2 linked regions of the Daphnia pulex genome follow. The protein of the gene in region 1 interacts with the protein of each later gene in a pairwise test. Links are inferred from orthologs where the notes say so. Each region holds a gene or a part of one and is shown in the gene's direction. Other genes may lie near its edges.

What was found.
Region 2: the proteins of arf-GAP with coiled-coil, ANK repeat and PH domain-containing protein 2-like (region 1) and ras-related protein Rab-35-like interact in a two-hybrid assay, tested with the Caenorhabditis elegans proteins (2 studies listed by BioGRID). The link is inferred for Daphnia pulex from reciprocal best matches to the Caenorhabditis elegans genes cnt-1 and rab-35.

What each region holds. Positions count from the first base shown.
Region 1 is NC_060027.1:578,567-582,868, forward strand, and holds the start of arf-GAP with coiled-coil, ANK repeat and PH domain-containing protein 2-like, read left to right. Parts: upstream 1-1,496; 5' UTR 1,497-1,964; intron 1,965-2,031; 5' UTR 2,032-2,130; coding exon 2,131-2,147; intron 2,148-2,221; coding exon 2,222-2,257; intron 2,258-2,323; coding exon 2,324-2,381; intron 2,382-2,444; coding exon 2,445-2,503; intron 2,504-2,571; coding exon 2,572-2,745; intron 2,746-2,820; coding exon 2,821-2,999; intron 3,000-3,113; coding exon 3,114-3,253; intron 3,254-3,319; coding exon 3,320-3,415; intron 3,416-3,488; coding exon 3,489-3,711; intron 3,712-3,785; coding exon 3,786-3,891; intron 3,892-3,960; coding exon 3,961-4,167; intron 4,168-4,225; coding exon 4,226-4,302. Other genes in the region: RING-H2 finger protein ATL64-like, read right to left, coding at 154-828. UniProt on the Caenorhabditis elegans protein: GTPase-activating protein for the ADP ribosylation factor family. Regulates endosome recycling downstream of rab-10 and upstream of arf-6.
Region 2 is NC_060021.1:11,607,434-11,611,307, reverse strand, and holds ras-related protein Rab-35-like, read left to right. Parts: upstream 1-1,423; 5' UTR 1,424-1,504; exon of another isoform or gene 1,505-1,579; 5' UTR 1,580-1,835; coding exon 1,836-1,887; intron 1,888-1,953; coding exon 1,954-2,102; intron 2,103-2,173; coding exon 2,174-2,199; intron 2,200-2,264; coding exon 2,265-2,389; intron 2,390-2,450; coding exon 2,451-2,704; 3' UTR 2,705-2,707; intron 2,708-2,767; 3' UTR 2,768-3,363; downstream 3,364-3,874.

The sequences.
Region 1 (4,302 bases):
GTATACCCGCAAAATGTGTTTCAATTAGTGTCAATGTGTTTTGTTTTAAAAATAAGAAGACAAATGAGAACTTGATTTTATTTTGTATTTCCGAATGAATTGATATTGAAATTGAATGTCTCGTAAAAATGTCAGGGAAATGATTCGAAACGTTTAGTCCAAGTCGTTGGAAGGATCGTTGGGTGGGTCGGGCTGATCATCGGTACTGAGCAGATTGATTCCAGGAAATAACATTGCCACCATGAATCGGTGGAAGGCTTCATCGTTCAAGGGTAACCCACCATTTCCATCGTTCAAGGTGACCCAACGACTTCCATCGTACACCGAAAAAGCACGAAATACCATTCTCCGTCTTGGTGGTGCGGGAGGACGGACGGGTGTGAAAACTTCGCCCTGGGACGATCCCGAAGTGATGTTGTGAACGAATTGGCTGAACGGTTGCCTGCATGTCGGGCACTCCAACTTGACGCGGCACCAGCTGACCAGACAGTCGAAACAAAAGACGTGGCCGCAATCGAGTCGTGATTTGTCCGTTTGGGGACTCATGCAAATGGCGCATTCACCGTGGTCGTAATTCATCGGTTGGTGTTGGGGACCGGAACTTCCGGAGGGAATGGCAGGTTCATCATTCACCGTCGGGTCATTCACAGCAGGTAGATCGTCAGGTAGATCGTCAGTTGAAAGGCTGGACGTGGGATTTGCCATTTCAGCTGATTCATCGTCGGTTATTACGTGAGCAGTCGGTTCGTCGTTATCCTCCATGTTGGAAACGGGATTCAGATTTTCATTGGCCGACTCGTCGCTGGAGTTTGATTGATCGTTTGACATGTTGAATCTTCGATAATAGACAATCAAGGCAATACAGATAAAAAACCGTGTCGCCTATTTATCTCCCGAGTCCTGCGGACTTGCCTCTGCAAGTCCTCATCCGAGCTTATTTCTTGTCATATCATTTCAAATAATTTTAATTCGAGTTTTGTATGGTTTTAAATGGCTGCGTCTCATTAAATCGCATTTATTTCAATACTTTTAAAATATAATTCATTGAGACAACAACCGCAATTCAGGTAAATAAGTTTCACCGAGCGCCATAAACTACGTATATTGTGCACACGTCTGTGTACTTTGGTATGCGTCACGGTTTATACGATGCAAGACACACAGGTGAATTGGGACGAGACAAACGGACATAAATTACTGGGTTTTTTTCAGTATTTTCCTTGTGCAGTCAAGAGTAAAATCCTATTAGCTATTTAATATTGAATCTCCTGCAGCAAACAGTAGTAGGGGGATTATTTGTTCAACCGTCGTTTCTACGCGTGTACTATCTGTACACTGCAAACAGTGTTGAGTCGTTTTACTTTACGCCTGTTTGTAGGTTAATGTCCCACATTTTGTTTACTTTCACAAAACACGTAATATCCATTTTGAATATAAGAAGAGCTGCTGCTGCACCCGTTTGTACTCGTTTTCTAATCTGCAAGTCGATTGGCCACTGTCGAGTTGCCGTTTAGCAGTACCTTAATGTTTTGACGTTCGTTTTTTCCCCTTCCTTTCGTTAAAAATTAAAAAAAGGAGATTTGCCAACTGACATACTGTGTGTCGAAAAGTTGTCATCCATTGCTAGTGAGTGGGAGTGCAAGCCTGTTTGTGTGAACTCGCCTTTAAAAAAAAAAGCCTACGGCTGCGATTATTTACGTGCCAACTCAACGAATTGGATTGCGACACAAGATTTCACAGAAGAGGATATACGTCATCCTGTAGGAAGGAGGAGGAGAACGGTGATATTGTTTGGTTGCAGTTTCACTCTGTCAATGATGGCCCACTGTTGTGTTCTTTTCTTCAATTCCTAAACATCGAGCTTGACATCACCAAGGGAAACAACACACATGTAATGCCAACTATGCTGTAGTATTTTTACTTAATCTGTTAGAAAAACTGTTGGCTTTTAAGTCAATATTTTGGTAAGCTGCTCTTATAATATTTAGTATTGTGATTAGTTTTAGTTTTCAATATTGCTTTCACTTCTAGGTTGTTACGTTTCATCATCATAATCACTAAACCCACATCACCCTCAGAATAGCAGTTTACCACATCGAGATCTGAGCTTTCATCAGTCTTTCAATCAACATGAAACCCATAATCTCGTATGTCATTATCATTACTATTAATACATGTAGAACAATTTACTTATTAATGAATGCATTTCTGAATCCTACAGTTATGAAGAGTGTATGAGGGATTCCCCAAAGTTTAGGTATAACGTTTTTAATATTTAAACAAGTCACAAAGCTGTATCACTACTATATTTTTCTATTTTTAGAGATGCTCTGGAAGAAAATCATGCAAATTTAGATGATCTGGAAATTAAACTTGAAAAAGCAAGTAGCCTCTTGTTATTAGCTATTTTATTTCATTTGATAATAATTCTGAATTGTTCACAGGTTTTGAAAAACTGCAACTTAACAATTGATGCAGGGAAAACCTATTTGGGCTTCCAAAAGTAATTTGATTTTCAAATGAATTAGTTTTATCAAATCTATAGATTTTACCATAACTCTCTTTTCCTAGTAATCTTGTGCAGAGCATGTTACAAGTGAGCTTGCATTTCAAAGGAGATCCAGCCGTCTCCCAGGCTTTAAATAAAGTTGCCAATTCACTGCAAGAGACCATCAAATATCACTCAATTCTGATTGATCAAACCAGCAGATCGGTTTCTAGATCACTTAATAATTTCCTAAAAAAGTGAGTTATTCTTCAGCGTAAACAGAAAAGTAAATAAAAAGCAATCATAAGCAACACTTTATTTCTCTGCTGTAGGGATTTGAAACAAGTCAAGGACAGTCGGCAACACTTTGACAAGATCTCGGCCGATCTCGACACAGCGCTCGCTCGACATGCTCAAGCTCCGAAGAATTCCAACAAGAACCAAGGTGTTACCGCATCTGGCTCGGCGAATACTGTACTAGCCGCCAGCACGCTGTCCTCCACACACCAGGGTATGCAGACTATGTAGCCTTATCTTTCGCTATCTTTTACTGATAAAAACTATTGGAACCGAGTAATAAGCGGCATAGGTTTATGAAGTGTAATACGAACCATTTGTCAAACAGGTTTAATGACCACAAGTGGAGTGGACGAAACGTCAAACGTGTTGATCGCCACTCGTAGTTGCTTCCGTTACACAGCGCTGGACCATTTGTACACTATCAGTTTAGTGCAGTCGAAAAAACGCCATGAAATTCTTGATCCAGTAAGAATATTTTTAAGCATTCATTTTGACATTAGCACTGAGCTGAAACGTTGATTGGTTCCATAGTTACTTTCCTACATGCACGCCCAGAGCACATTCTTTCACCAAGGATCGGACCTTTTCCAAGATACCGATCCGTTCATGAAAAACATTGGATCAGAAGTGAGATCTAACGCTTGCCACACGTACTTAAAAACCGGTTTGATCCTGCAACGCTTTGGCGTGTTAATTACAGGTGACGCAGTTACGAGAAGAGACCAACGCGCTAGAAAGAGAGTTGGGAAACCGGCACAGTGTAGTCACATCAAAGGATTTAGTACCCATGTTGAAATCCGAGACGCTGAACGGAACCCGTATGGAAGGATATCTGTTTAAGCGTACGACGAGTCCATTCAAAACGTGGAATAGACGGTGGTTCGCCATTTGCTCCAGTCAATTGATTTACCGGAAAAGGACAGGTACCCAAGCAATAACACTAACGTTATTTTTTTGTGTCAGGTATTCTCTTAATCAATAGATATCCTTTGATCAGGTGACCGAGAAGGCACAATCATGGAGCAAGACTTGAAACTTTGCTCCGTCCGACCGTTGGTTGACATTGATCGCCGTAATTGCTTTGAAGTCATTTCACCCACCAAGTAAAATTTGCAGTCAAGACACCTCGCAGCTTTGATTAATTATTCAAAATGTCGGATGACATTGCACAGGTCTCACGTTCTGCAAGCGGATTCCGAAGAGATGTTCCAGGTATGGATCCAAGCTATCCAAGATGAGATAGGTGCGGCCATGCAATTGATGCTGAGCAGTCGGAGTAGTTCGGGGCAGAGTCTGGCCAGCAACGAGTCACCTAGGAGCAATGCTAAAGACAGTCAAAACTCTAGCCACTCTACCACTGATAGCGCCAACACATCCAAGTATTTAAAAATGGCTGCAATTGCGGTATAAATATTTAATCATTTTTTTTTTAATCAGGGAAAGTAGTAGAGATAAAATTTTATCGGACATTTTAGCAGTGGCCGGAAACGACCGCTGTTGTGATTGTTCAGCAG
Region 2 (3,874 bases), on another chromosome or scaffold:
TTTGCTATCAGAACTCTTATTATCAGCTCTGTGACTTTTACTTTGAGGTCTGCTTGAATATTTTCATTAATACCTAGGCGGATAACGAAATTTTAAGAATAGAAAATATACATAAAAGAAATATTATTGCTACCTGGAGGGAAGCATTCTAAAATTCATTTGACATCCAATACCACCTGGTTGTAGTACTGATGAATGATAATGCTTAATCTCTTCTGATGATAAACTCCTGTTTCCTTTAACTGGTGTAACAATTTGATTCTTAATAAATAGACAGAATAAACAAACATTTTTACACAAATGTTAACTTACATTTACTTATAAAGAAAGAAAATATGTTACCAAAGACAAAATATTTTTCACAAACAACGCCTATTTTGACTTTTGAGCCTCAATTAACCAGCAATTAACTCTTGTCTGACTTTTGGAAAAAAACAAACTGACAAGTGACAAGCAGACAACTCGAAACTGTTGATGTAATTTCCAGGCGCGTTCTTAAAACTGCAAACGCGTAAAAGTTTGTACGCAACCTGAGCCTACGCAATAACGCAATCAATAAATGACGTTTCACTTTAATTCTCTAAATACAAAATAATAAAAGTGTTTACACCGTGTAAATACATAAGATAATAATTACTTAAGAAAATAGTTACTTGTGAGAATAATTACTTAAGAAAATAATTTCTTAAGAAAACAATTACTTAAGAATATAATTACTTAAGTCGTTGCTAGTGACTTACGAACAATTGTACTAATAGAACCTATTATTTGTGAACATAATTTTAATTACTGGTGACCATAATTACTAGCGAGTATTTGACTAAATACACGTTGCATGAATTACTTAAAGCCCAAATTATTAAAAATTTTAAATACAACAGTCCATAATTACTTAAGAACAAAAATACTTGTGTCCTTAATTTCAATAAAACAAAATTTTGAAAGAGCTTGATACCATATTTACTAGTGAAAATAATTACTTGTATCCGGATCCCCTGCGCGGCTCCCGTTTTTAATATGTTTCCGACTTTCCGTTTATCCAAACTTCGATGCTACAACGTGTTTATTGATCAAATTCAAGTGTTTGCTTACTTTTCGCGTTTTTTAAAATAATTTTATAGTATTAAACCAACAATTACGGAACAAGGGTCGCGCTTTGACCTTTTTATAGACCTTTTCAGTTTTCCTCTATTAGAGGGAGTACAAAGTCTTTCTTGCACGGTGTTTTATTTGATCATTTAGAATTTGTTATTTGATGCATACAGTGTAGTAAGCAAGCATGACCAGTTTATTTGAACAAACTATCACATCAGAATCAGATTACAAAGATAATAAAAGTAGTACAGCTCATATTAATCACCTGTGAATAAGTGTAGAGAGGAAAGGAGGGGAGGGGTTTTGTGCGTGACAATTTTCTTTGGATGGTTTGGCAACGTCTCTCCATGAAATAGTCCTGTACCAATTTTTTCGGCTGGTGTGAAGTGAGTAACAACGGATAAAGGGGGTGGGTACATGTTCGATTAACGTTGGTGCAAGTACGAAAAAGTAACGAGTTACGGTTTTTTTTGTTTCGGATAAGATCATCATCAAGTGATTTATTTTCTCGCAAGTAATTGGTGACACACTTTCGATTGTGTACACAACGCGAGCAAGTAATTCAGTGTGACCGGTCGGCGAAACTTTGGCGCTCGTTGTGCTCATACAGATCATCACCCTTAAAAGAAAAGCTATTTGATAAAAATGTTGAATAAGGTTCTCCCGGTGTCTTCTTAAATACCTTAAACTCAGGCCTTGTTGAAAAACTATAAGTGTGTTGTGGTTTTACCTTATCAAAAATGGCCAGAGATTATGATCATCTCTTCAAATTGCTTATAATTGGTGACAGTGGTAAATACAGCCCATATTGCATTCCAAGCACAGAAATTCTTATAACACATTACTTTGCTGTTTTAGGTGTTGGCAAAAGCTCTCTATTGCTCCGTTTTGCAGACAACACCTTTTCTGGAAACTATATTACAACAATAGGTGTGGACTTTAAAATTAGGACCATATTACTCAATGGTGAACGTGTCAAATTACAAATCTGGGACACTGCGGGACAAGTATGTTCATGTTGAAAAAACTAAATATGTATGGTACTTACAATTATCTTCTTATTTTTCCCTTGTTACAGGAAAGGTTTCGAACCATTACATCAACGTAATATATACAATTCAGTTTCGTTTATTGAGATGCATTAAAACTTATCACATTTTCCCTTACAGGTACTACAGAGGAACTCATGGTGTAATTGTAGTGTATGACGTCAGTAGTGGAGAATCCTTTGCAAATGTAAAAAGGTGGTTGCATGAAATAGAACAGAATTGTGATGTTGTCAACCGAATATTAGGTAAAATAAGAGTTATAACAACACATGATAAATCTTTTAACTCTTTTTTTTTTCTATCTAGTTGGCAACAAAGATGATATGCCTGACAGGAAAGTGGTCTTAACTGAAGATGCTCAGAGGTTTGCTAGCCAGATGGGTATACAACTCTTCGAGACGAGCGCCAAAGACAACAAGAATGTGGAGGAAATGTTTAATGCCATTACCCAGCAAGTTTTACTCACGAAAAAAGAACAAAAGGAGCAGGCCAGCAACGCGAACGACACAATCACTGTCGGCAAAGGAAGAAAACCGACAAAGAAAAGCAAATGCTGTTGAAAAGTAATATTTTGTGTTTACCTCTACACCAACATATCCAAGTTATTTATCAAGTTTTATTAGCTCCAGGGATAGTTCGTCTCTTCCCCTGTTTCTTGGCGCACCAACGCTCAAATAGGGGGTCCTGCTGTGACGCTGTATCATTGATTAAACGACAGAATTCTACTAGACACTCCATCCCTTCATATCCGTTGAGACAGGGGCATCCAAAAACACACGAAAATTTAGTTTCCTTCCGTTACCCACCTCTACTCTACTCTCGGATTTGATTTCATTTAAATTCTTGTTTTCTTTTTTCCCTTTTTTTTTCATTTTGCTTGTTCGTAATGTCTTTCTTAAATCTTCTTTTTAATTGAATTGTGTGTCTACTGCGTTACTGATTTATTAAAGCAACAATTTGTCCGCCTTGCAACTTGGTGTGTTCCATTGTCGTGTACAGCTTTCAGTCCATTTGGGATTAATTGTCGCTGTTTTGTAGTCTCTCCTTCAACATCTTCTTTAACTGGGCTGTATTTTTTTTTTCTTTCCTATTCCTCTTCCTTTCCCTGATGGAATGCGTTTTGAACATGTTTTATTCCTGGGGAAACCGGGATAACCACCTACTCGCTCGTCTTCATTGACTGAAATATAAATTGATATGGGCATTCCAAGTAAATTAACATGGCAACTTTCGACTCCTTTTTTCCTCCTTGGCTGCGAGATGTCCATCCATAATTCTGTCTTACCATACAAAATACCCTCACGTACATTTACACTTGAGTGAAGGTTGTTTCGGCTGACGTCTCACTGGACGGATCGATACTTTTCTTTCGGGGGTCTATGGCCCCTTCATACTCAAACCCACTCATACAATAACTCTATCTTTGTCGTCCTTCTTATACGTAGGAAACCAAACACCAACACACTTTCGGCCTCCATGTCTGGGAGTTGTATCGATCGCTAACTTCTTTCGGTACCATGCTCCTATTACCTACTCGAGAGTCAGCGATTGCCTGTCAGGCAGTGAAGAATGTGAGTGGCACTTCAAGCCTAAATATAGCGTGCGCTGTAGTAGCTGTCAAAATCGTATGCGATCCTTACTACAAACATAGTGCCCCTAACCTAACGCGTAACTAATGTAATTACACTGATAAGGGTTTTTGATTCAATCAGTATAGTCAACATTAAATA